Linked DNA regions of Cricetulus griseus. The protein of the gene in region 3 interacts with the protein of the main gene of each other region in a pairwise test. Links are inferred from orthologs where the notes say so. Each region holds a gene or a part of one and is shown on either strand. Other genes may lie near its edges.

Region 1 (6,246 bases), on a different chromosome or scaffold from region 3:
GCGCAGGGCGTCAAGCTCCAGCTTCATGCTGGCGTTTTCGGAGGCCAGCTTCTCCACTTCCTGCTGCAGCTCCGCCTTCTGCTTCTCCAGCTCCTCCTTCTGGGTCACACGCTTCACTCTGCAGCTGGCTGCGTAGCCGCGGTTCTTAAGTGTGCGCCGGCGCTGCTTCAGCTGGATGATCTCTTCCTTGGACAGGCCTCTCAGGTGCTGGTTCAGCTCTCGAACCGACATGGTCACCAGCTCCTCATCAGTCAGGCTGGTGCCATTCTCACCCGGCTCCCGCTTCACCTGGAGGAGAATTCACAGGGTCACGGGGTCACGGCAGAGCAGGAAGGCCCACCCCATCACACCCCGAGCCCAGGTTCCCCACTCACCTTCAAGGCCTTGTTTCCTTTATTGGGGGTCGTCATAACCCGGGGGCACAATGAGCAGGCACTCTGCAAGACACAGAGCACAGGTCAGGACCCTGTAGACCCCCTTTACACCCCAACAGGAAGCTTGCTGTCCGGTGCTCAGCCCACTGAACCTTGCCCTCACCTGACCTGAGCTGGGCTGCTTCAGAAGGCCCTTTCCCTAGAAAGACAGGTGGGAGATGGGGAGGCTTTACCCAGGGAAGAGCCAGCTGTGTGAAGGCAGAAGACAAAGGGAGCAGAGAGAGATTAGAAGGTCTGGGCTGCAGGAGGGGCAAGCCTAGAAGGAAGCTGAGCTTTAAAAATAACCCCAGCACTGCCCCAGAGCACACTGTTCCTGGCGAGTCACGCTGACTCAGCACATCGCCTCCCTCTCTTCCTGAGCCGCTCTCCCATTCCTAAGGCCAGCCAACAGTTCCCCAGGAGACCCACTACTGGGACCAACGGCAGGCAAGGGTCAGTCAAGGACCCTGTACTGCAGGGTCCTACTTTCCATGTATTTGTCCCTAAGCTTGCCCAGGACAAAAGAAAGCCCTTTCTCCCTCTAGGACTTAGGAGGCTGCTTCCTGCCTCATTTTGGCAGAGGACCAACCAGGTTTGCTCTAACTGTGCTGACTGGGAATCCTCTCACCTTCCAGGTAGCAGGCAATCCAGCTGGGAGGAGCTGAGCCCAGGCCCCTCCAGTCCTCCCTGTCCACCTCCTTAACAGATGGAGTAACCATCCTGTGGCTTGGTTGCGGCATCCTGTGCTCCTGCCCCACCCGATACTGGGTGTTTCACAAGGGCCCCCACAATTAACAGAGGGAGGGCACTGTTAGCTGGTAACAGGCAAGAGCCAGCCCCTTTTGGGTCACTGGCTAGTCTCTGGCTCTCTGCCTAGGGTCAGTGACCACAGGGCCAGGGAACAAAAGCACAACAGCTACCTTCTACGGTCAGCTACCCTCTGGCACTTTTTAAAATTTCTGATTTCTAAAGCCTTGCCAAGAACATTTTTGTATACCCAGGCTGGGAATCCCCCACTTAGCCCAGCACCATGGCTACAGATGCAGGGAAATGGAAGGAACTGCAGGAGAGGTTGTTGCAGTGTCTTCCAGGGGAGGCTGAAGGCTGTAAGCACTTTAGGCAACAATGTGTCGGGGTGGGGGGTGGGGGGTGGGGGTGGGGGGTGGGGGTGAGGAGTGGGGGTGGGGAGTGGGGGGGTGCTTCTTAACACTTATCAAAAGAACTAAAGTGTGAGCCAGGGAGGTAGAGGCTCCTGTTCTCATCTGAGCAAAGACCCTACTACTCTCAGTCTTGCACAGGACGTGCTAAGCACAGAAGCTGGAGACACTTCTCCAGGGCCAGATTAAGAGCATTTTCAGAGGCAAGAGTCCCGTTAGATCAAAGAGAAAGAAGTCAGGGCTAGGGGTCTGAAGAGGAGCTGCCTTTCTTAGAAGGTGGCCCCCGGCTCACACCAGGAGCACAAGAAAAGGTGAGAGAGGCAGCCCTAGCAGGAGCTTTTTTCACACAGACTGCAGACTTCCCGCGATTGCACAGGGAAGTGCAGTGTGTGGTAGCTGGGAGCTGAAAAGTGCCTCCTCAACAGATTTTCCCCTCTGCTGAAGGCCTGATCAGCACAAGTGCAGCCAACTGCCTCCTGGTCAAAGGTGTGTGTGTGTGTGTGTGTGTGTGTAAGGTGTGTGTGTGTGTGTGTGTGAGTGTGAAAGGTGTGTGTGTGTGTGTGAAAGGTGTGTGTGTGAAAGGTGTGTGTGTGTGAAAGGTGTGTGTGAAAGGTGTGTGTGTGTGTGAAAGGTGTGTGTGTAAGGTGTGTGTGTGTGTAAGGTGTGTGTGTGTGTAAGGTGTGTGTGTGTGAAAGGTGTGTGTGTAAGGTGTGTGTGTGTGTGTAAGGTGTGTGTGTGTAAGGTGTGTGTGTGTGTAAGGTGTGTGTGTGTAAGGTGTGTGTGTGTGTAAGGTGTGTGTGTGAAAGGTGTGTGTGTGTGTAAGGTGTGTGTGTGTGTGTAAGGTGTGTGTGTGTGTGTGTGTGAAAGGTGTGTGTGTGTGCTCGCCCGTGCTTGTGCATGCTTAAGCGGGGAGGGAGAGCAGGTCTCAGCAAAGCTAGTGTTTCCAGCTGCCTGCCTAGCTCCTGCCAACCTAGGGTCACACGGTGACAAGGCAGACAGCTTTGGGGGACAGCTGTCCTGAGGTATAGTTCAGAGCCTGAGGAAGCTGCTCAGAGAAGCTGCTCAAGGCCAGCTTGCCCCCCAGCTCTGCTCTCCTCCAAATACTCTCAGAGCAGACATCTGGACACTAGTCTCAAGCAAGACAGTGGCCCTTCCTCAACCTTTCGGGCAAACTCCAGTGCACGAGGCCCAAACTCAGGTCTCCCCTACCCCAGATACTGACAGTATTTGAAAACAACTTAAATGTCACAGAAGCATAGTGACTCCAAAGTTTAAACACCTCTCTGGGATCTTGAATTTTCATAGGGCACAAAGTTCCACCCTAAACGAAACACCTGGCACCTACGAGCATTCTCAGGGCTCAGTGTAGTAAGTGCGGATGGGAAGTCTCTAAGCCTAACCCCAAGGTCAGCTTAAGCTAGCCATGAAACCCCGGGCAAGGAAAGCAATGCGGAATAGAGCTCGGGACCCTTCACAGCAAGAGAAATCAGTAAACATCCACGCAGCCATGCAAAGGTGGGGGCCACACCCCACACAGGCTGTCATCAGGTCAGCCTCCCAACAGGGCACACACACTTTTTGCTAACTTCGGGCGACAGTGGGACCCCAAACTCTTCTGACAGGGATAAAGGAGAGGTAAATGAGAAAGAACTACGTTCTCCACTCCATGCTCGCACCTCAAAACTTCCACCGGGTACCATCCACGCTTCCCTCCCATTAGCTGGCAGAGCTGCCCCGGCTTCCTCAAGCCACACAACCCTTCTGTCCTGACTCCCGGTCTTTTCGGTGCAAGGCCGACGCCGCCCGGCCAGCCAGGGTCACTCAGAAGGAAAGCCTCCTTCCCAGACAAGCGGGCTCGGCCCACCTAGGCTCCTCCCCTCAGCGTACTCCGATCGGTCTCCCAGTTTGGGGAGCTGGACCAGGAGCCCCAGAGCCTAGGGGGATGCGTAAGCCCGGGGCTCTACCTTCCACCCCGCGAGGAACCCGCGGCGCACCCCGGTGATGCGTCCCTCGAGGCCTTTGCCTCCAACTCACAGGTCCGATAAACTTAAACACGACCCCCGGCTCCTGGCCCGACCTTCGCCGCCCGGATCGAGCCCTGCCGCCCGCTCGGACTGCCCGAGAGCCGGCCTGGGCCCCCCGCCCCGGGCCCGCGTCAGCAGGAGCACCGAGTGACCTCATGCTGATGACTCAGCACGTCTCCGCTGGGCTCGCACGCGCGTGGCGAGCCCAAGCCGCTCAGCGGGGTCTCCCCGCCGCCGCCGCCGCCCCTGCCCCTGCCCGCCCGGCCCCGCCCGCGCGGAAGCCGACAGACACCTGATGAGTCAGCAGCTCGGTGCGGCCGCCCCGCTGACCCGGGCAGACGCGCCGACCTCGCCCTTTAATCGCGCCCCCCGCGGGGCGCCCGGGGGTCCGTCGCGCGCACGCCCGGCGCTCCCAGCCTCGCCTCGCCCGGCCCACAGCCCGGGGGTGGCACCGGCGAGCCGCCGGCTTCCGACCGCCTGGCGCAGAAACCGGGGCCCGCGCCGCCGTCGCACGGTGCGCCGCAGCCCCGAGGCCAGGCCCCGCCCCGCCGCCCGCCCGCCGCTCGCCCGCCCGCCCCAGCCCCCGCACTCACCACACTGCGGGCCCCGGCGGGCCGAGGCGGGGCTGGGGCGGGGCCGCGCGCGCTCCGAGGCTGCGCGGGGCTGGGGCGGGCGCGAAGGGTCCGGGCCGCGGGCTTGGGGCGACTGGGCGCTCGCGCGGGCCGGGCCGAGCGCGCTGGGAAGGCCGGGCCGGACCGGGTCAGAATCCGCCACCGCCGCCGCCGCCGCCGCCGCCGCCGCCGCTCCTCAGACGTCACATGATGTTTGGTCACGTGGGCTCCATTCATGAAGCGGCGACGCGGCCGGCCCGAGCTTAAAGGGAAAGGCGCGGCGACGGCGAGGCGAGCGCGCCCCAGCACGCCTGCGCAGCCCGGCGCCGTCGTCCCGGCAACCCGCCGCGCCCAGCGGACGTCTCGCGGGACTCGCGCGGCGCCCTCCGCGTGCCGAGCTCTCCGCGGCGCGGACACCGGTGGCTCCGGTTCCCCCCGGGTCTCCTCGCCTGCTCGGGCCGAGGTCGGAGGGCAGGTTTGCCCGTGTTGCCGCGTCCACCGGCACGCGGGGTTTTCTCGGGACAGCGAGCGCACCCTGGCTTGGGGTTCCGGGCGATGCCCCCGCCTCTGCCTCCCGGAGTCGCCGCGCCACGCGGGGCCCCCGCCCGCCGTGCTGATGATGTGACACGGTTGCGGAGCTTCTTACCGCATCCTGTTGCGATGCCCCCTCGTTCCCGAGTGGGTCAGAGAGCTGGGAAGGCCCAGCCCACACCCCGGCCCGCGCCCCCAAACGCCCGACTGGCACTGGGGCTTCGCGGTGCGCGCTGATGGTCCCGATCCCGTTGCGGTGCAGCGTCTAATAAAAAGTGAAAAAGCGGGAGAGTTTCAGGTCTTTCTACGTGGCCCTCCCTTCTCAGGTGGAAAGCGGGCTGGGGATGGGTTTGTGTGTGTTCTTCCTGTTCAGTGCCACTGGGTAGCGGATGGACGTGTGGCACAGGCTAAGCCAGGATCCTCCAGTCCGTTCCGCCAGCCTCCAGGAATTTGTTTGGGGATCTCACACCTCAGTTTATTGTCACTGCCTGTCCTGTAGGGCCAAAAGTAGTTCTTAACATTGTATTTCTTAGGGGAGTGTGTGTGTGGGTGGGGTCTTTATCTCTCGCTGGGTGTAGCTAGAGTCTCAGGGTACAGTGTGGCTTGTGTGAATGTAGACTTACTCCCTATGCCCTCAGGGTTTCTGTTGTCTTCATCCTCCTTTCCTTTGTTTTTTTGTTGTAGTTGTAAGACAGGGTCTCACTCTGCAGCCTCGGCTGGCTTAAGCTCAGCAGCAACCCTCCTGCTTCAGCCTCCCGAGTTCTGACGGTACAGGCACGAGCTTCCTCCCACGCGCTCCTTGTTTGCCCTTATTTATGAAGATAAGTCTTACTCTCTTGCTCAGACTAGCTTCAAACTCTTGGACTCAAGAGTAACTGGGGCTTGCTGGGCTGTGGTGGTGTACTCCTTTAATCCCAGCACTGGGGTAAGGGTGGGGGGTCAGAGGCAGGTGGATCTTTGAGTTCGAGACTAGCCTGGTCTAAAAATCGGGTCCAAGACAGCCAGGGCTACACAGGGAAACCAATCTTGAAAAACAACAACAACAAAAAGTAACTGGGACTCCAGGCATGCACTGGGATCAGGAAGCCCTCAAGCTCTTTTTTACCCCCCAATGTTAGGGGTCAAACCCAGGATATTAGACATACTAACACACACACACACACACACAATGTTAGGGGTCAAACCCAGGATATTAGACATACTAACGCACGCACGCGCGCGCACACACACACACACACACACACACACACACACACACACACACACACACACACGTATTATTAGGTTAGAGGAGATGCAGGAGCCCCTAGCCACTCTCCCCCCTCAGGACTTGTTCTTTCATCTGCTGCTCCCTGTCTCACCTGCTCAGGCATCCTTAGGAGTGCATGCTATGGGTCCTGGGGCAGCTACTGAAGGGCACAGTTGCCGGGTTGATCCCTGTTCATGGATCCCACCCCTTACGTCGTGGTCCTCACAGCATTTGGTCTGGCTTTCATTCACACCTCAGAGT
Region 2 (6,110 bases), on a different chromosome or scaffold from region 3:
GAGAGAGAGAGAGAGAGAGAGAGAGAGAGAGAGAGAGAGAGAGAGATGTCTAGGCCAGAAGACAGCTTTGTAAGGGTCACTACTCCCCCTTGACCATTACATGGGTTCTATGGGACTGAACTGTGATGTCAGGCTTACATCCTTGGGTGGCAAGTGTCTTTATCTGCTGAGCCATCTTGCTGGCTCCAAACTATGAGAATATCTTGCCTCTTGTCAAACACAAATTCCTGCTGATGATCATTGTTGCAATGTGTTATTACAATGTGGTGGCTTGATGGTCACTCTAATGCCACCGTTCTCTCCTCTTGAGGGATTTCCATGCTTTGTTTCTATTTATTTCTATCAGGGTAAACTCAACAATTCTCACTTAATAGGTTACGATCCATTACTGCTCTATTTAAACGCCCAAGTTGTCCCAGATTTAGCTAGTCAGAGCTGCCTCAAGCCAGAGAGCCCTGCCCCACTTTTTTTTTTTTCTTACAGGAAGGCAATTTATTAACAGAAAACAACCTGAGAAGTCCTGTCCACAGACAGTGACCACAGCGACCTTCTTTCCTGTGGGGGCTGTTTGAGGGGATGGAGGTCACATCCTCAATCAGCCTGATCCTTCATTCCAAGTGAGCAGGAACTCTGAGGACTGACAGGTTCTGGAGTCGTAGTCTTGTTTCCTCCTGTGGCCCACAGTTTGGTAGACAGGATAACAGTGCCCAGTCCTTGAAGCCGACATGACAGCATATGGGGAGCTTTCACCTTCACCCCACCAGTCCTTCTTGGCAATGGTTTCCTTACCAGAAAGATCAGTGACACTGACAAAGGTGTCACTGAAAGATGCAAAGATGTGAGAGATACCAAATAATTCTCTCCTCCAACCACCTGAGCTCTGAGGTGGAAGACCTATTCTTCATCATTTGCCTTTGCCTTGCAGCGTACTTTTTTTTTTTTTTTTTTTTTGAGTCCTCTTGGGTCTCTGCCACTGGAAGGAGAGTGTGAGAAGGCCAAGCCCACTTTTAAATGTGACAGTGCACAACATGGTTTGACCATTACCAAAACAAGATCAACCTCTATGGGCATCGGGGTGTGGATATGAAGCCTTCCTTACTCCTTGGTGCTCTTAGGCTGGGGATGAGGCCAAAGGCTCTAACCACATGGAGTCCCCACGTGTCGTATGGTCTACCGGATTCCTTCACTAGTTGAGCACCTATTTGCCAGGCATGGCCTCAGCTCTTTAAAAGGTAGGAAAGTGGGGGTGAACAGGAGAGACAGCTCATGACTGTGTGCTTCTAGAGTTTGAGAACATTAGTTCAGAGGCCAGACTTTAAACAATTCTTATTTATAACTTTTATATGTAGCTTAAACTCATTTGTTGTGTGTCTGTGTGTGAGTGCATACATGCCACTGTAAGTATGTGGCGGTCAGAGGACAGCCTTCAGGAGTCGGTTGTATCCTTCCATGTGTAAATTGTGGGACCAAACTCCAATTGTCAGAGTTAGTGACAGGCACTTTTACCCACATGGTGGAGGCAGGAATCACTTGGGCAAGTGGAGGCACAGTTGAAGATCCAGGTCCCATAGGTACAAACAGAAACGGCATTTAAAACCACGAGACTGGATGAGCTCATCCGGGCAAAGGGTGTCGATCGAAGAGAGAAGAGTCCAGTGAACTGTAAAGTGAAGCGACATCTCCCCTGCCACTCTCGAGAGGTGTCACGTGAATGCATCCAGAGGACAAAGTCTGGAGGCTACTGAGAACCCAGGAAGCTCTGGCTGTGGGCCCCTAGAGCGGGGCCCACTAGGGGCGGGGTCTCACTTTGGCTGTGGGCGTGGCCTTGGCTCGGGCCGCAGCTCTGGGACCGGCCAGCGGCCGGGGCGATGACGTCAGTGCATGACTGGGTTTTTATGAATGAAAGGAATCCTGTGCGTGAGTAATTCCGGGAAGCTCGCCTTACAACTGCGCGCGGCTCCGGCCCCCTGCGCCGCCCGCCTCATAACAAAACTCCGAGCGGCGCTACGCGGAGCCGGGTTCCTAGTGAACCGCGGTCCCAGTTGGAGAGGAGTGGGGCTTGAGAGCGGCCTGGGACCGCCACCGCGACAGCTGCGGGGACAGCTGCGACAAGCGCGCACGTAGAGTCGGGCCTGGCAGAGAGAGGTAAGGACGCGTCAGGGACCGGGACCGCGCCTGGGGTGAGCGCTCCGGGTTGTGCCTGGGCCGCGCTGTGGGCGCCCCCGTGCATCTGCCCGCCGAGGGGCCTCCGAGGGGCTGGCTGGGGGACGGTTCGCGGGCCCCGGAGGAAGCCGGGGCGGGGCGGGGGGCGGGAGGCGGGGCGGGGCGTGCACGTACGTGACTCGGTGAGAACAGTCCTGGAGCCCGGCCCAGCACCGTGTGTGCGCGGTTTGTTTACGTCCCCCGGCAGCGGGGCGTGCGCGTGTGTTCTCTGGGGAGCGCCCTGGGTCCCACGGGCTGAGCGCGCACGGGGTACCTCTGGGTGTGTGTGTTTGTCTTTGGCCGCGCGCGCTCCCTGGAGACTGACACTAACCCGGTGTACCTTGAAGTGTGTGCACCGGTGTCCACTGGAGCAAATGCGGAATAAGGACCCGAGTGAAGGAAGTGGCCCAGTCGATGGTTACACCAGGTCTGGAATTTTTTTTTTCTCTCCCTCCTCCCCACCCTCCGCTATCCTCTCACTTCCCACCAGCCGGTACTGCCCGGCCCCAGTTGTCTCCGGAGTTTCCCCTGGTTGGAGCCATGTGACATCAGTGTTTGTTCCTCGCCCAGTGCGGGTGCCTGCAGCTTTAGGTAGAGCAGAAGTGAGCGAGCCAGCCAGCCGTCTCCTGGCCATCTGGTGTACCTGGTAACGAAGTACGTGGAAGTCCCTCTTTAGCCCCAGGTTTTCTGGCTCTGTATGGACTGTTCATCTCTGGACTGTCCCATTCCTCCGGTCCCAGGAGAAATAGAGAAGGCCAGAAAGGCCTTGGCAAAGATTGGGGAAGGCAAGGCTCCCAGGCTACAGTGGCTAGCCTAATCTGGATGTCTGAGGCTGCACCTGCTGGGTCCTGAAGGATGGAGTGAGGCTAATAGCCACACTTCTGGTAGTTTCAGTTCTCAGATGGAACTCGTTAGACTGGACCCCAGGACACACCTAGAGTCCACCCTGAACCAGCAAGATCAGCCGGCAGTATAACCCCTGGTCCTCCTTCGGGAAGGGTTAATGTGGGAGGGGAGCACAGCAAGAAAACACCTGCTTAGGCCAGCAACCTGAAGGACTGCTGGTTCCCGGAACACCATGGTCATACTCAAACTTTCCCTACTTGAGCGTTCTGGAATCCAAGGAGGTGGCAACTAAGCTTGTTAGGGGGCGGAATCAATGATACTTCAACTTTGAGCCAGTGAGTTCTGCTATCACTGTGAGAACTGCAGTGTCCCACCCCCATCTGCGGCAGGGTGGCAGGAGAGCTTAGTCCCTGGCAGCTGCAATGCACAGCCTGTTTACCAGGGGAAACTGGGAAGGCAGAGCCAACCCCAAGGCCTGCAAATGGAGTTGTGTGTAGAGTGGGTGGTTGAGGGGGCTGCAGCCAGGACCCTAGGATTTAGGTGGGTCCATCCTCAAAACTGATCAAGAAACACTCTCCAGTGGGGCTGGGGGGTTAGTGGTGAGGGGAAGTGGCTAACTGGCTCACTGACAGAGGGAAACTTAGCATGGAGAGATTCTGTTTCTCCTTGATCCCCAGGGGTCCATTAGAACCCAGGACCCCTAGGTAATGCCCCCCTTTTTAATGAGTGTCTGGTGCCAGCAGAGGTCAGAAGAGGGTCTTGGGTCCCTCAGAATTGTAGTTACCGATGGTTTTGAGCTATCATGTGGGTGCTGGGAACTAAATTTGGGTCCTCTGCAGGGGCAACAAGTGCTCTTAATCACTGGGCCATCTGTCCAGCTTACCTATTTTTTAAGGGAGGATTTATTTTGGCTCATAGTGTGAAGGGATGGGTATGTACTCACTGCAATAGGAAGGCCTGGTGAGAGCTGCTCACCTATGGCTGTGGTAGTGTGGGCTGCTGGCTCCCCTCTCACTGCACTGGGAAGCTTTGCTGACACTTAGCCTTTGCACAATGGCTGGGCTAGATGCTTAGGGTTGTAGTAAACAGACAGATCCACGGACCACATTCTGGGAAGGGGCCATGAAGGGGAAGTTACTTTGGCCTAAGTAGTAATAGGGCTCCTACTTAGCCAGGGTGATCATGGAAGTCTTCCCTGTGGAGGTGGCTAGGGAGTAGAGTTTGATGGTGCTGTGATTCTGGAACCCAGAGGACAAGGGCTGTGATTCCTTTTTGGCCATTCAGGACTCAACACAGGGCCTGGCACACAGTAGGTGCTTCTTGGATATGTGGATAGTTGAAGAAATGGGCAATGGGTCCATATCCCTGAGCTCCAGGGAAACAGAAAGCAAGACTGTGAACTGTAGGAGTCTTGCAGGAATTTCCCCCAAAATGAGCAGGTGGTGCAGGTAGCTTCTTCTTTCACACACAGAGCTGTGTTCCTTTTGGCCAATAGTCATTAGGAAATCCAATCTGCTCATTTGTTACTTATTAGCAAAAAGAATGCTGGGAGAGTGAAGTGAACATGTTATCAGCTGGGGGCTCCTTTGTGGGCTGGGACAGCTGAGAGCATGGGCTCTGTGGTTTTGATATTTTTTTCTAAAGATTGATCTAAAGTTCATTTTTATTTACATAGGTGTTTGTGCCTTAGTGAATTGATGTGTGCCATATGTGTGCAGATGGCTGTGGAGGCCAGAGGGTGTCAGATCCCTGGAACTGTAGTTACAGGTGGATATGATCCACTTGACTTGGTATTAAGGCCAGAACCAGGGTCCTCTGCAAAAGCAGCAGGTGCTCTTAACCACAGAGCCATCTCTCCAGCCCTATTTTTGTTTTTGTCTTATGTAGCCTGAGCTGGCTTTGAACTTCTGGTCTTTCTATTTCTGCCTCTTGAGGGCTGCCATCATGATGTATATGACCACACCTAACTAGCACAAGGACTTGAAACATGCCAAACATGGTCAAGTTTGTAGGTTTGTGCCTCTAGTGACCCTTTGATGCTATTGGAGATGGAGGTTGGGGCAGAGGAGGGAGTAAGGCAGTGGTGAGGCCACTGTGGTCTTGGTCTGGCTGGAAGAGGAAGTGGCCCCTAGCTGTGCAGGTGGAGGAGAAAGGAGGTCAGGGCTCATAGCCTGGCTGCTTATGCTGTCATGCTTCTGCCTCCAGGAAGCCTTCCCTGGTTTCTTTTCCTTTCCTCCAGTGTCTCCACCCTGCTGGAGGCTTTGGAGCTTTCCACTGGGCCTGAATCTGACAGAATAAACTCGGACATTGCCATTGTCGGGAGGTTGGGCACGTTGAGAAATCCAGGCCCAGAGAAAGGGAGTGACAACCTGAAGTCACACGGTGAGAGTGTGGGTAGCAGAATGGGGCTGGAACCCAGGCTGCTGCTCCCCACACTGCTCAGTTCCCAGTCTTGAGCCCTTCCAGCAGGGAGGAGGCGCCCCGTGCTTACTGCCAAGACCCAGGCAAACACATTTTTTCCCTCTGTCCTCACCAAGTAAGCAGTATGGCTCAGCAGCCAGAGAGGAGCCCATGCCAGTGGGTGGGCCGTCTACAGGATGTCTCGGGTGTACAGCTGAGGGGCCAGAGATGGGGACAGGAAGGCCATGGCCCCTGGCTGGTCAGCCGTCATGTCCTCAAGAATGAGCTCACTCCTGGGTCTCCAAAGAATACTAGGAACCTCAGATCTGGAGTTGGCCCTACTGGCTTCCCCAGGAAGAAGAAAAGCCTCAAGGGTGGGGTCCCTGATCAGGCAGACTAGTGGCAGTGGAGTCTCCTTGCCTTGTGTCCTACAAACTGGGGCCTGCTGCTAGAAGCAAAAGGCCAAAGGTGATGGGAAAATTTTCCCCCTTCTCATGTTGGGACATTCACTCTGTGACTGTGACTGCTGAGTTAGGACATTCCTGGGCAAATGTGGGCCTCCATGGAATTTGAGGATGCCACTGAGGGGCCTGAGGCTAGAATGGTGGTTGATGGGATGGAGGAGAAAGGGCAGGTGCCAGCCTTCCTTGGGTAGAGCATTC
Region 3 (6,235 bases):
AAAATAAATACAGGAGAGTGTAAACAAAGGCAAACAAAGGCTAAGATCCAGGCAGCTACAAGATTTAATTAAGAAAAAGGGAAAATGGTCACTGGAAAATGTGAAGCAGACTCTGGGACATTGCTTTAAAAATGATAATTACAGGAAAAAAACATCCTGCCTCTCCAAATGAAAGCTGCCTAGGCCTCCTGCTTCTGTGTCTTCCTGGACAGGACCACAGGCACCATCCAGTTACCGGTTTCCCCACGCTGCTGTCTTGAAAGGATCCACTCCCTCTCAATGGTTATTAACTTCCTTGGTAAGAGAGGAAGGTGCAGATAATACCTTTTTATCATCCCAGCCTCTCCTCCCTGGTTTGGTTTTCTGTTGTTGTTTTTTAAACAACCCACTTGAAGCTTTGTGGACCTGCTTCAAGTTCCCTTTGGTCCAGTTTGGAAGTAGAGATTCAGAGCCCAAGAAGTCAGGCTAAGTTTGAATTCTATCTTCAACATGGAACAGTTGGAGGAGTCATCTTGGCCTCTCTCCTAACCTGAAAACTGAAGATAAAAAGTGTTCCCCATGGGGGTACTGAGAAATTATACATAAGAGGCAATTACCATATTGCTTGGCTTGCAAAGGAGTATCCACTTACTTACCTACTATCTAGGTAAGTTAGTATCTAAGTTCCAAATTCTTCCTACATCCTCAAGCTAACCCTGGTTCAAGGAAAAAGTAAGAAGATAGATTTATGAAAACCTTTTAAATATGCTCAATCACGATGAAGGAAACATCTAGAAATAAAGGTAACTGCTCAAGTGCTCCTTTCTCCTGCAGCTTTGCTTAGCATAACTCATCCTAAATAAAAATGAACATTAAGAAGAACCACGTATCTGGCTTTCAACTCTCACCGGTAATCCTAAAAGAGGATTGTTCCCCCAGCATTGTTTTTAAGGACCCAAGTTAATATAAATGAAATTTCAAAATGGCCCTAATTATTTTTTTTAGTCATTTATTTTTTTTTATTCTTATGCATTGTGTTTTTGCCTGCATGGATGTTTGTATGAGGGTGTTGGATACCCTGGAACTGGAGTTACAGATAGTTGGGAGCTGTTGTGTGGGTGCTGGGAATTGAACCTGGGTCCTCTGGATGAACAGACAGTGCTCTTAACCACTGAGCCATCTCCCCAGCCACTGCCTTAGTTATTTTTAAGATAGAAAGACTGATGTGGTCGTGTATTTATCAATCCACATTTGGTTTCTGTAACGTCTCAGAGATGTTCCATATATCTAAAAAGTCAAGTTGGTCTTGCTTAACATTCATTCCAGAGGAAAGGCTTGTCCACTTTCTCTGTGTCTAACGTTTAAAAATAAGCTTATCTGTCTCGTTCAATATCAACTTCATCTTCAATATCAACTTCATCAACTTTTATCTTTCCAAGACACCACTGAAAAGAGTAATGGATGGCTTTCCCCCTGAGATGAAGAGTCATTGAGCAGTTAAAACCATTATCCTACAACAACACAACCATTTGCTCAAATCTGTAACTCAGTTCAAATCCTTCTGGACTACCAAACAATGATTTTAAGATGAATTATAATTTTTAATTCTGTTTTTCAAAGTTGCTGTCTGGAAATAACAAGAAATGTTGTTGGCAAAGAAAACTTTCACATGGAGGAGAAAGCAGTACATCTGCCATTTTTGTACATGAAATGTTATGCTACATGCTACACAGAAAAAAGAAGAAAACTTTAAAATCAAAGTTCGTTTGTATCATGTATCCTGTGGCCAGACAAGCATTCCTTTTGATTACTAATGAAGAACAGAAGATCAGAAAGTACAGTTTACTTATTCATCCTAATGAAAACCAGCTACAACCCCAATCATTTCTGGGGGAAAGTTCAAGAGAGGGAGTAGAATTAATGCACTGTCAGTAACTAAAAGCTTACATCAGGCCCTTCAGGGTCAGCGATTTAACATTTAAATTAACTTTCTGTTTACCAAGTTACACATTCCCTTTTCCTAAAAATCCAAGTACAACACAATGGCAACATAAGCATTTACTTCTTTAAAAGTGCCAGAAGTATGACCAAAAACTGATTTTCACTTACATAACAATCTTCAAAACTTATCAACAAGGGGTTATGAAACGAAAGCGTCCCATCCTCTCTGTTCATAAAAGTTCACAATGTGCTAAGAAATCGAGGAGGCAAAAAATCTCAAACACTAAGGAAAAATGTACTAAAGACACAAGGGAGGGATAATAGCTAAACGCAAAAACTTCATCGTCAATATAAAAAGCAACAAATTCTAATCTACAACTCTTACCCTTGACGGCAAGGAACAGAATATCCTGCTTTACACATTCTGGGACTGCAATTCTGCAATGCTAAATCCAAAGACAAAGCCGCCCAGGGGAAAATAACAATTGCGCAACAGATCAACAGCTCCAACTTGTCCCTTGGCCCCAGAGCAGCGAGGTTTGCACGCTATAAAGCAGGAAAGGGCCAACCGAGGGCCTCCGTGACTGCCAACCGGCCGCTGTCACCCACCCGGAGGCCACAGCCACGCACACATACACAGTGTGGGGGCCCCGCGAGTCACGACGCTCAGAACACACAGCCCCGCGTGCGGCTGCCTAGGGCCTCTGAGCCCGCCCAGGTCCTCAAGTCCTCGCCTGATGTGAGGCCAATGCCGGATTCCCGGGCTGAGGAAGCGCGAGGAGCCCTGCCCGTCGGGGCACCTGAGCACGAGGGTCACCCGGTGACTTTCTCTTCCGCCCCCAGAGGGCTGGGCTTTTCTAGATCAAGCCGGACTGGCATGATCCTACAGACGACGAGCTCTCGGGCTGAGAAAACCACAGACGGCCAAGGGGGCTTGGCAGCCGCGCTGGAGGTCGCGGCCAGGGGAGGGAAGCAGTCTCCGGGGCGGTCGCCGAGGAGACCTCAGCTCCCCCGAGCACGGCCCCGTGACTAGGCACATTTTTACCGGCACCGAATCTGGGAAACTACGCAAGCCCGGAAAGGGCCGGGCTGCGCCGGCGAAGACAGCCAGCGTCCGCCCCCTCCCGCCGCCTCTGAGCATCCGACCCAGCGAGGTGGTGTTGATGCCCTCTGGCCCCACCAAGCCCGAGCTTCCTCCACACCCCAACCCCAGTGCCCCCGGGGACCTCAGGCTCGGTCCCTACTCTCATCGCTGCCCCAACACCCCCGTTGCCTTCCCGGCCCGGCGGGGGGCAGCTCCCAGGTCGGGCTGTCGCAGTCTGGGTTCAGACTGTCCCTCCCTCCCGGGACCACTGTCCCCTCGAGCTCCCGTCTGCTTCCTGGCACAGCCGATAAGCCCAAGGGCCGGGGCAGCACCTGCTGGGACTGTAGTCCTGGCGGCGGCAACTCCAAGTCCATCATGCTGAGGACGAACGCTGCACTGAGGATCCCCGACGGCGACGCTACGTTGGCTGCCGAGGTGCGGCGGCGGCAGTGACTCGACGGAGCTGCCGGGATCCAGCAGACAGCCGGCTCGCTTGAGTGTCCGGCCAGTCTCAGTCCGCTCCGCCCCCCGCCCCCTGGGGGCGGAACAAGGACCTGGGGAAGCGACAGGAACTTAAGGGCGGAGTGAGGGCTGGAGCGAGAGGCAAGGGCTAGAGTCCCCGGCGAGGGCCCGGGGGCGGGGCAAGGGACTGGGGGCGGGGCAAGAGCCTGGAGTCGTGCAAGGGTCCTGGGCAGGGAAAGGGTCCGAAGACATGGCGAAGGGCGGAGCGAGAGTAAAGGTACTTAGAGGGGCCGGAGGGGCGGGGCAAGGGCCAGAGGGCTTGCCCTAGGGCGGGGCAAGGGTAAAGGGACAAGGCTGGGACCAGAGGGGCGGGTCAAGGGCCTGAGGGCTTCCGGCAAGAGTTGCTGTATTCCCCTCGGCCTCCGCTGATGACCATCCTCTAGCGGTGGTCCGGGCGTGGCCGTGGTCCCACGGGGGCGGAGTGCGGGCGAGAGGCCCTGGGCTGCCCGAGTCCTCGCTGGGACAGCTCTCCCTGGCTAGAGATTAGCAGCTGTTTGCTGAAGGTCGCTGGGGCTCTGGCGCTTTGAAGCAGTTTAAACAGTTGGAGCAAACACACCGGGAGCCCATCCCGGGCGCTGCTATCGGAGCTGCGCCTCCCTGATTCGGATCCGCAGAACCTTGCCCGCTTTATCTCGCCCCACCGGCTGACTGTGGCGCCAGCCGGGGGTGGGGGCTCTGGGCAGGGACTGTGCAGACAGCCAACTGCTCTCTGTCCCCCTGTCCTGCTCATGCTGGTGCGGGACAGCTCTGCCCCAGGGAGATGCGTCCACATTGCAAACTTAAGTGAACGCCCTCTATTTCTCCCACGTGCCCGCATCTAGCGGCCAGAGCTGAAGGAGTGTGTGGGTCGTTCACCCAGAACACACAGGAAGCAGCCACACAACAAATAGCATCCTTCACAGGTGTGGATCCTCATGATACAGTTCCCCCTCTTTTTTACGATTTTATTTTGGAACTTTGAGATAGGGTCTCATGAAACCTGGGTGGTTTTGAGCTCCTTATCCTCCTGCCTCCACCTCCCAAAGGCTGGTATATAGCAGTGGTTCTCAACCTTCCTAATGCTACTACCATTTAGTACAGTTTCTCTTGTGACCCTAAACCATAAAATTACTTTTGCTGCTACTTTATAACTGTAATTTTGCTGTTATGTATCACAATGTAAATATTTGATATCTGAAATGTGACCTCTGTGAAAGTTGATCCATCCCCAAAGGGGTCACGACCCATGGCTCCAATATAGGCTATGCCACTAGGTTCTGTTGTCCGAGATGGTGATTGTTTTTACAATGTCCATTCCCAAACATACTTCCCTAGCCCCTGAAAAAAAAAATCCAATCTATAAAACAGATCGTAAAGGGCCTAGAAAAAAATCGAGGGGCGTTCACTAATGTGTTAATTGTTGTTCTTTTGCTTCAAATGCTAGGATAAAGTAGGAAGGGGGTCCTGCAGGGGGTGGGGGAGGGCATGGTGGATTCCATGGACGTCGAGACAAACACGCCAGGCAGATAGAGCTTGAGTGAGAGGTTTTATTAGAAAGGGGAGGGAGGGGGAAGGAAAGAGAAAAGAGGTAAAGAGACACAGTGACACAGATGACAGAAGAGGAAGACAGGAGCAGAAAGAGAGGAGAATGGAAAGAGAAGAGATGGAAGAGAGCAGAAAGAGAGCAAGAGAGTCTAAGTGAGCTGGGGTCTGTCTTTTAAAGGGGTCCTTTGCACCTGTGTGCAGACCAATACTCATGGAACCCTGGGCTGACCAGGGGTACTGCCTGAGTGCATTCTGCCAGGTGACAGGGGCAGGCCAGCATAATGCCTGCATCTTTTCATTCCCACCTTTACTTATCATTAAAAAGGTGAGGTGTTAGGCATGGCTGGTTAGAGAATAAGGACATCAAGTTCTCAAGACTACTTCCTGATGATCTGGGGGGTGTTGACTATCTTTGGGGGACCCAAGAAAGCTGGGACGCTGCCATGTCCTGGGGTAGCTGGTTGTTTCATCACAGTCCAAGCTGTATGGAACTCTCTGGTACCTCTTAGACCTGGCAAGCTGTTGGCAGAGCAGAATACAAAGTTTAAGAATTTTTTTTTTCTTAGGTTTTGGTACTTGAGGGGAGGAGGATCATAAGATGAGGAAGGGGTTGGGGAGGTCCCCAAGATGAGGGAAGGGAGTCACAGGACCAGGGAAAGGTTGAATAATATTTATTTGGAGTGAATCTGACCTGTTTGGGTGGGTCCAATTAGGCTCGATGGAATGTAACAAGAGTTCTTTGAGTTTGTGAAAACATAAATTTTAGACACATTAGCAGTATACTCATGCCAGAAACAATTTGGTTGAAAGCATTGGCACTTAAAACTGACAGATATCAGTGCTGGAGAGATGGCTCGGAGGTTAAGAGCACTGCTCTTCCAAAGGTCCTGAGTCCCAGCAACCACATGGTGGCTCACAACCATTCTCTATGAGATCTGGTGCCCTCTTCTGATGTGCAGATATACATGGAAGCAGAATGTTGTATGCATAATAAATAAAATAAATTTTTTTTTGGTTTTTCGAGACAGGGTTTCCCTGTGTAGTTTTGGAGCCTATCCTGGCACTCGCTCTGGAGACCAGGCTGACCTCGAACTCACAGAGATCCGCCTGCCTCTGGCTCCCAAGTGCTGGGATTAAAGGTGTGAGCCACCAACCCGGCATAAAATAAAATCTTAAAAAGTTAAT

Evidence for each region.
Region 1: the proteins of Nfe2l2 (region 3) and Mafg interact in binary tests that used the Homo sapiens proteins (3 or more experiments, as listed by UniProt). The link is inferred for Cricetulus griseus from reciprocal best matches to the Homo sapiens genes NFE2L2 and MAFG.
Region 2: the proteins of Nfe2l2 (region 3) and Maff interact in binary tests that used the Homo sapiens proteins (3 or more experiments, as listed by UniProt). The link is inferred for Cricetulus griseus from reciprocal best matches to the Homo sapiens genes NFE2L2 and MAFF.

Annotation. Positions count from the first base shown.
Region 1 is NC_048600.1:133,124,098-133,130,343, forward strand, and holds the start of Mafg (transcription factor MafG), read right to left. Parts: upstream 3,770-6,246; 5' UTR 3,752-3,769; coding exon 3,605-3,751; intron 1,534-3,604; exon of another isoform or gene 1,042-1,533; intron 986-1,041; exon of another isoform or gene 608-985; intron 586-607; exon of another isoform or gene 538-585; intron 438-537; coding exon 375-437; intron 289-374; coding exon 1-288. UniProt on the Homo sapiens protein: Since they lack a putative transactivation domain, the small Mafs behave as transcriptional repressors when they dimerize among themselves.
Region 2 is NC_048595.1:376,526,045-376,532,154, forward strand, and holds the start of Maff (transcription factor MafF), read left to right. Parts: upstream 1-2,341; 5' UTR 2,342-2,576; coding exon 2,577-2,629; intron 2,630-6,110. UniProt on the Homo sapiens protein: Since they lack a putative transactivation domain, the small Mafs behave as transcriptional repressors when they dimerize among themselves.
Region 3 is NC_048599.1:99,366,800-99,373,034, reverse strand, and holds the start of Nfe2l2 (nuclear factor erythroid 2-related factor 2), read right to left. Parts: upstream 3,578-6,235; 5' UTR 3,382-3,577; coding exon 3,337-3,381; intron 2,457-3,336; exon of another isoform or gene 2,306-2,456; intron 1-2,305.